Linked DNA regions of Nothobranchius furzeri. The protein of the gene in region 1 purifies or fractionates together with the protein of each later gene. This does not show direct contact. Links are inferred from orthologs where the notes say so. Each region holds a gene or a part of one and is shown on either strand. Other genes may lie near its edges.

Evidence for each region. The genes of interacting proteins can lie anywhere in the genome.
Region 2: the proteins of pop7 (region 1) and rpp30 purify together in Homo sapiens (co-immunoprecipitation; 4 studies listed by BioGRID and IntAct, counting the BioPlex papers as one, with this or other methods). This does not show direct contact. The link is inferred for Nothobranchius furzeri from reciprocal best matches to the Homo sapiens genes POP7 and RPP30.

What each region holds. Positions count from the first base shown.
Region 1 is NC_091742.1:83,870,045-83,873,646, forward strand, and holds pop7 (ribonuclease P protein subunit p20), read left to right. Parts: upstream 1-1,184; 5' UTR 1,185-1,297; intron 1,298-1,970; 5' UTR 1,971-1,982; coding exon 1,983-2,435; 3' UTR 2,436-3,102; downstream 3,103-3,602. Other genes in the region: ufsp1 (ufm1-specific protease 1), read right to left, coding at 1-691. UniProt on the Homo sapiens protein: Component of ribonuclease P, a ribonucleoprotein complex that generates mature tRNA molecules by cleaving their 5'-ends. Also a component of the MRP ribonuclease complex, which cleaves pre-rRNA sequences.
Region 2 is NC_091756.1:51,153,159-51,157,132, reverse strand, and holds the start of rpp30 (ribonuclease P protein subunit p30), read right to left. Parts: upstream 2,801-3,974; 5' UTR 2,727-2,800; coding exon 2,645-2,726; intron 2,004-2,644; coding exon 1,945-2,003; intron 1,667-1,944; coding exon 1,544-1,666; intron 1,371-1,543; coding exon 1,299-1,370; intron 822-1,298; coding exon 732-821; intron 652-731; coding exon 535-651; intron 413-534; coding exon 383-412; intron 244-382; coding exon 206-243; intron 45-205; coding exon 1-44. Other genes in the region: nudt13 (NAD(P)H pyrophosphatase NUDT13, mitochondrial), read left to right, coding at 3,810-3,974. UniProt on the Homo sapiens protein: Component of ribonuclease P, a ribonucleoprotein complex that generates mature tRNA molecules by cleaving their 5'-ends. Also a component of the MRP ribonuclease complex, which cleaves pre-rRNA sequences.

The DNA of each region.
Region 1 (3,602 bases):
GGTTATAAAATGAAGACCGATCCAGAGACGATACTGGTTTCCATGCCACCCATCCTCTCATCTGCAGCTCTGTCTTCTCCAGTTTGGATCCAAAGTAGTGAGGGTCAACAACCAGTAGGTAGCTCCCATTGGTCCCAGTGCACACCCCCAGTATGCCCTTAGAGGAGTTGTCCCTGTCTCCCCCCATCATGACCGGAGAACCGTGCTTTTCAAAGTGTCGATGGAGTTCTTCTACAGCGACCTGCTCCAGCTCTGCTCCTCCACCTCTAACATGCACCAGCTTACAGGGAACATCATAGAGATAGTCCAGAACCAGAGAGGCTTCAAACGTTCCAATCCACTCCTTGGATCCAGAGAAGGAGGCTGGCTTGTCCCCCACTGAAACCAAGGCTTGTTGGATTTCTGGGAGGCTTGGAGCAATTTTGTTATGGTCCTTATGAGGAGAGCAGTTAAAGTAAATCCAGGAAGCCATTGTCTGAAGGGTACGATAACCACACCCCCAGCCTCTGTCATCTTGTCCATCGCAGCCATAATAGAAGTAGAGAAAATCTCCTTTGATCAATGAACGTTTCACAGGGCCAGGAAGTGGCACAGGAAGTCCAGTCTGTACGTTCTTTAACAAGGTTTCAGTCTTCATATTAATCTCCTCTACGTCACACATACCCCAGTCAATTTTTCCCTCGCGCGCCATTTTTAAAAACTATTTTCATCAACCACAAACAAAGTTTTAATTAATTAAATGTCCAAAGTTGTGTTTATGCGGCAGCCATCTAGTGTAACTAAAACAACATTCCCCAATGTCCATATGCTCGAATGAGGGTTCCGTCTTAGTGTTTTTAATGACGCTACTAATCTACTTCCGGTGTTGTGCCGAAAACTGCAACCCCTTCGTAAGGCGAACCCCAAAACAAGTAGAACTTGTTTTCGCCAATAAACCAATCGAAATAAATATTTCAAACACAAAGATATAAAGTTATCTTTGTGACTTTCTCTGCGCAATTACATGTTATGGGGTTAACCTTTCAGTCTTCACGCCAATGACTATTTAGCCAACATGTACACCAAAATAAATACATTAATATATTCATGTTCCTAACTGTGATGAGTAAACATAAACTCGTTTATAATATCGATTTGATTTAAACTGCTGTAAATTCCGCGAACTGGTTCTTTTACTTCCGGCTACGTTTGTCGGCACAACACGTGTAGCAAATCTACTTCCTGTTTTGCTAGCGTTCTGGAAAAAATGTCAGCGACGTGCTGAAGCTAATTTCAGAGTGTAACTCGTTATCTGCAGGTAAGTTGGCCTTTTATGATGAAAATTTAAATGTAAGTTAGAAAAATTACTCACGCTTACTCGATTAGTTATTTCGTTTTTCTATCGGGTTAACCAGAACCGATACTTAGTCCTAAATGAGATATTAAGCGTTCTCAGTCTTGGATTCGGGTTTGCATCAATAAAAATAAATGAACAGAGAGTGATATTCATGACTAACACATTTGTTGAGACGTTTTAGCAATTACTGGATATCTAACCATTTTTGTGGAAAGGTCAAATAGAAAAATAGAATGTTGAACCTTGTTTTTATTGTACTTTGTTTCACGAAATGCTATAAAGATTAGTAAATTTAGTCTTGTTGATGTTCCAAACGGCTTTGATTTACCATTTTCCTTTCACAAAATGTTTCTGTAAGTCATGCAGAAGTAACCATGATCTATGTAATATTCTACCAGCTGAAAGTCCCAGCTGCGTTGTAGGTGGTTTCGTCATAATCATCTATCAAATGCACTATCCGAAATGTCTATTGTTTTATTTCTGCTAATAAGGGCTATCTGTTTTGTCACATAACTAATTTATGAAAACCCTTTTTTAATTTTTTACTTAAAGTGAATAGGTGAAACGATGTAATGTTTTGTTTTATTTCCTTGCTTACTTCTGAAGTTCTCTCATTTGGACCTTTATTCTACAGACAAGGACAAACATGACTGAGCCACGAAACCCTGGGATGTCCTCCGCCCCTCAGGTGAACCCAGCACACGCTGAGTCCAGCTCTCCAGCTGTAGAGATGGATCCGGTGGAGTACACCCTGAGGAAGCGTCTTCCTCGCAAACTCCCCAAGAGGAGGAACGATGTCTACGTGAACATGAAAACGGATTTCAGGGCCCAGTTAGCTCGCTGTCAGAAGCTCCTGGAGGGCGGCGGTCACAGGGAGATCTGCATCCACGGTTTGGGGCTCGCCATCAACAGGGCGATTAATATTGCCCTCCAGCTGCAGACCAGTAGTCAAGGAGCCCTGCAGCTGGCTGCCAACACGTCCACGGTGGAGCTGGTGGATGACCTGGAGCCTGAAGATCCTGATGAGGCTGGGGAGCCAATGACACGTACACGCAACAACTCAGCCATTCATATTAAAGTTTTTTATCCTGAACCTTAAGTGACTGTTGCATTCAACAGAAACTCCTTTTTGTTCTCCAATAATTCCACAAACAAAAAAAAGGTCTCCTGAGACATCTTCGTGTAGCAACCCATCAACATCACCTGGAGTCTTCACAACGAAGTATTCAGAACATTTCATAGTCATCATCCTTGTTGTGCTTTAAGTGTTGTTCACCACGTAAAACTTTATTTAGATCTGATGTTTCACATACAGCTGTACTTTTATTTAATTTTACTTCCACCAGATTGTTCTTGATTATAGAGAACAGAAATCAGTTTATCATGTGGGTGTAGTTATTGTAAATGTCCACTAGGTGTCAGTATTTATCTTGTAATGGATATTTAAAACTTCAATGGCAGCATTTACCAACAGCTGTTTACAGTGTCGGTCAGCTGTGGGTCAGGAAGACTTCAGAAGTATTTATTTATCTGATCTTTGAAGGGTTTCTGGTGTTTATTTGGTCAAAGCTGATGTACTTGATTATGTATTTGATAAAGTTACTTGAATCAGTACATCTTTGTATACCAGTTCCTCAAACATTTTAGGGGAAAAGCATCTGTGCAGCGTGTGCGTCATGCATTAATTACTTGTTCTGAACGTCTGCTTTCTGAGAAGTTTGCTTTTTACTTCCACCACTCCGAGATAAAGAATGAAATGAACAGACTTCCCGTTGTGTTTCCATCCAGCCATCCTCTCTTTATCCAAACATGATATTTTGTATTTAAATAGTGAATTCTGCAGTGATGGGACAAAACAATACAAAAAACAGGAAAGAAAATAGATAAACATCCTCGAAAACTTCTTAAAAACAGCAAAATATAAAAACAAGGAAAGACAACAAAAACAAACAATTATTGTGAACAGTAGAGCATCCCTTTTAAATTAAAAAGTTCTGAGAACTGCCTGTTTTCAGTTTGGTGACGAAAAACAGAGGAAGGGGAAAAACAGTGCTAGCGTCAGGCTCTGGAAAGCTATTTGCAATCACAGCTCCACAGGATGTTAATTGTAAATTTTTCCAGGCAGTCTGGCTATCAGCGTATGGAGACGGGATGAATGTTGGTGTTAGAGAGACTGAAACATAGATAACAGCTTCTGAGTTCTCATGTAACCCTCCACAGCGAGCTCTCGCTCTCACACAACAGCTGAGGTGACAATCAGCGATGA
Region 2 (3,974 bases), on another chromosome or scaffold:
TAGATTCTTTAGCATCTCGGTTGGACAAACCAAACAGCAGACCTCTGAGAACCAGATCAGGAACGCAAGACATGAAATGTGTTGTACAACACTACACACCAGACACAGTTCTGTGAAAACACACACGATGGTCTGTTCTGATATCTCACAGACTGCGGCAACACTGAGCCCTATGTCAGATTAATGAACAATGGTTAAAGGATACAGGTTGGCGATGTCATATGGTCCTCTGAGCTCCCAAGACTGAAAACACAAATATCAGGTCAGAGAAGTACGGTGGACAAAAAGGGCTAAAACTCAGTTATTAGAAATGTTCTGATTTGGTGAAACAGAACCTTTAGTTAAATTCATGTTTGATCCACAGACGTAGCTGATCACTGACCTTGTCAGCTGCACTCGACAGGATCACGTTCTGAAAAACAGAAACAGAGCTCAAGATCTCACCTGCAACGTGATGTCACAGAGCTTATGTCAAATAACAGCATAGTGTAAATTACTCTGCAGCTAGCCAATCAGATGCAAGGACATGCATACCTTCCCTTTACAGCTCTCCATCAGGCACACGGCGTTGGCGATGGTGTAGCGCCTCATGGTAGAGTCTCTGATGGCTGCAGCATAGGATACCTCAAATGCAACGCCTCTCTCGATGGCCTGAACTTACACAGGTTCACACATTCATTAAAACACACACACACACAAATAAACAAACAAACAAAAGCCTTGGTTGTCACCGCATTGATCGGCGCTCTCTTGAAGAAAAAGGGTAGCTTCTCTGTCACTGGGATGCAGATGATGTCGATATCGTACAACGTGCAAGCTGCCTGAATAACACACACACACACACACACACACACACACACACACACACACACACACACATAATACACATACTTCAGTAAAAATAGAGTGCTTTCCACTCAGTCTGTTTCATACAGGTGTAATTATTGTACAGCTGTGTTTTCCAGGACAAATTACAGCTACTGCTATTACAACCACAGTTAGTTTCTATTTTTTATAATGTTGTGTTTCTTGAAAACTTTTCCATTCAGTGAAATTGCAGTTTAGGTCCTGTTGTGTTTTCTAATTAAATGTTGTCAATTTATTATTTTTTTGTCTTTTTTAAACTTTTCTTTTGTTAAATATCCAGTTGTGTTTCAGATGGTCTTTTGTTTAGTTTTGTTGTGCGTTTTTCCAGTAAGTTGATTTTTTAAAGTCACATATTTCATCCATCAACATTCCTGTAGTCAGTGAAAGCATCATCCTGTTGGAGAGATGAACAGAGTGTCAGTGAAGCTCACATGGAAGACTTTCTCAGAGCTTGAATGGAGGGCGATGAGGTCGAAAAATCGAAAAGCTGGAGAGTTGGTCGGCTGTGAGCACGCACGCACGCACACACACGCACGCACACGCACGCACGCACACACACACACACACACACACACACACACACACACACACACACACACACAAAACAGGCTGTGGCATCACATCATACAATCCATTTCAAGATTATTGATCCCTTAGCTCTAATTAGACAACTCACATAGTGACTGGCGTCAGACATCACCAGCGTCAGTCTGTTCAGCACTCTGATTGGACGAGAACGGCCCTGCACCATGGGCAGCTTATCAAAGATCTCATTGATCGGCTTTGGTGAGGGAATTTCCTGCAAAGACAAAATAAACATACTCCCAATAATAAAAGTTTGAAACAAAATGTAAATTCATTGACAATCAACTGATTGATTCAGCATCTGCTTAACCATAGAGATCAAGTGAATGCTCGGAGATCAGTTTTATAAAACCCGTTTTGATGTTTTACCATTTGGATGTTTCTGTTCATAAGAATGAATGAGAATGTAATAAAGTATCAAAACGCAGCCACATCAAAGGCTTCTATCTGACTCCATGCTGTTCCTCAATGCAGCGCAGTAGGTAGTCTGACCTGTTTCTTCTTGGCTACGAGCTCAAACACATAGTTGATGGCGACCGTGGAATATCCAACTGTAGGAGGGGAAAACAAAATCCCAGTTAATCCCTTCAGTGAGGTTTGCATCATCCAGGTTCTGATTCTGGATCTGTGGTTGTGTAGGGTTTAGGAAATTGAGTGCTTTAAGAGCTCTGTTTGTGTGAATCAGGTGGATATCACGATCCTGTCACAGTCACTGATGTAAATACTCCAAACTACTGAAGATCAAGTAAACATCTGATATCTTTCTGTTTCCTGTCAGACGTAATGATTATGTCTCAGGCTTTATCCTCAACAGTTATTGTTCAGTTACGCACGTGCAAAGGGTCAAATGGACAACAAAGAATGCTTTGTTATGAAATATTGTTCCTAATCAAAAGTACATAATCCAAGGCGATGTTACGGGTTTGTGGGTTTTAGATGCAAACAAGCTGTGATCGATTATTTCTCTAATAAACGGATTCAACTTTTCCCACAAAATCTAGTGATAAGGGTTGTTCTTAGTGATGTTATAAACAAGCATTATCGATTAATATCTTAACAAATCAAGTCATTTACTGACAGTGTTTAACTGATACCAGAGCCTCATCAGCCGAACCAAAACCAGCTGAGTTACGAGGCGGACCAACTAAACACAACACTAGAAAAGGTCTGGTTTAAGGTCGAGAATACTCACGATGAGCAGCTGTTTCCACCAAACTCTGCAATTGCTTTATATTAGACGAATACATCACGTTTAGGTCCATAAACACAGACATGGTACCACGAACCTATACAGCTCCACATATAGAAAACCGCAAGGCTTGCTGGGAGCTGGAGTCTTGTTCTCGATGAGTGAGTGACACGGGCTGAGGCTGACACAGAATATTTTGTATTACCGCCACCTGCTGGTGGCGGAAGCCCCAAGCCCAAGAACGACAAAAGAAGAAAACCAGTGGATTCTGTGATAAAGCTAATCTTTTTTCTCAATTTGACATGAACCTGTTTGGATATTTCCTCCTGGGAAGACGTATCTTGTTTTAAAGTGACTTAAACACACGCGCGCGCGCGCGTGCGTGCACGCACACACAATATGACTAATTTAAGCATACATTAGTAACAGAGGTGCATTTTTGTTTTATTATAGAAAGTATTTTAGTATCACTTTAATACCAGGACAGACAAATTACAAAGAAATCAAATACTTTCATTTTTCATTTTCTAAATTTTGACTAAAGTTCAAATCAATCATATTTACTGCTTTACACTAGCCTGGCAAGCCAGACTAAATAAATCTGTTATTTAAACTTTGCAACGCAAGAGGTCTAGTAGTTCACTAGGTTATTTTTATTTACTTTGTTGCTTCCAAAGAACTGCAGCTGCAGTAACAACAGTCTGGCAGCAGGGGGCAGCCGTGCCAAACCGCTGCTCAGGGAACAAACAGCAGCAGCAGAAGAAGAAAAGGTCAGAGGTCAGTGAAAAGTCGAAAATTTACTGCAGACGTCTGAGATTCTCGCGCTTAAACCGAACCAAAGTGGATGTTACACTGCTATAACAAAGCGGGTCAGCCTGAACTCTGAGCGGGTTTTTGTGTTCAGAACCACTAGCCTGACACGAATCTATAGTTTCAGTGTAACCTAACAGAAACGAGCAGATTTACAGAATCCCTGATTATTAAACAGGGCATCCTACCGATCTAACACTTCTGCCTGTGAAATAAATCTGATGCAGTGTGAGAATAATTGTTGGAGGTCACAAGAATAATTATTCAGAAAAGTGTATTTAAATCAGACCTGATCAGACTAGTTTGAGTGGAAAACTGCTGCTTATGACTGGTAAACAGGTTAGTATCAGCTTCATTAATGAACATCTTGCAGAAACATAAAAACAGACTCTGTGTGCAGGCTGAGGCAGCAGAACCACACCAATCCAGTTCAGATCAGTCTGGCCTAATCCAGCAGGTCCGGTCCAGAATGGCTTCCCTGTTAAGACCTCTGAGGATTTTCTTTCCCGCCAGATGCTGTGTT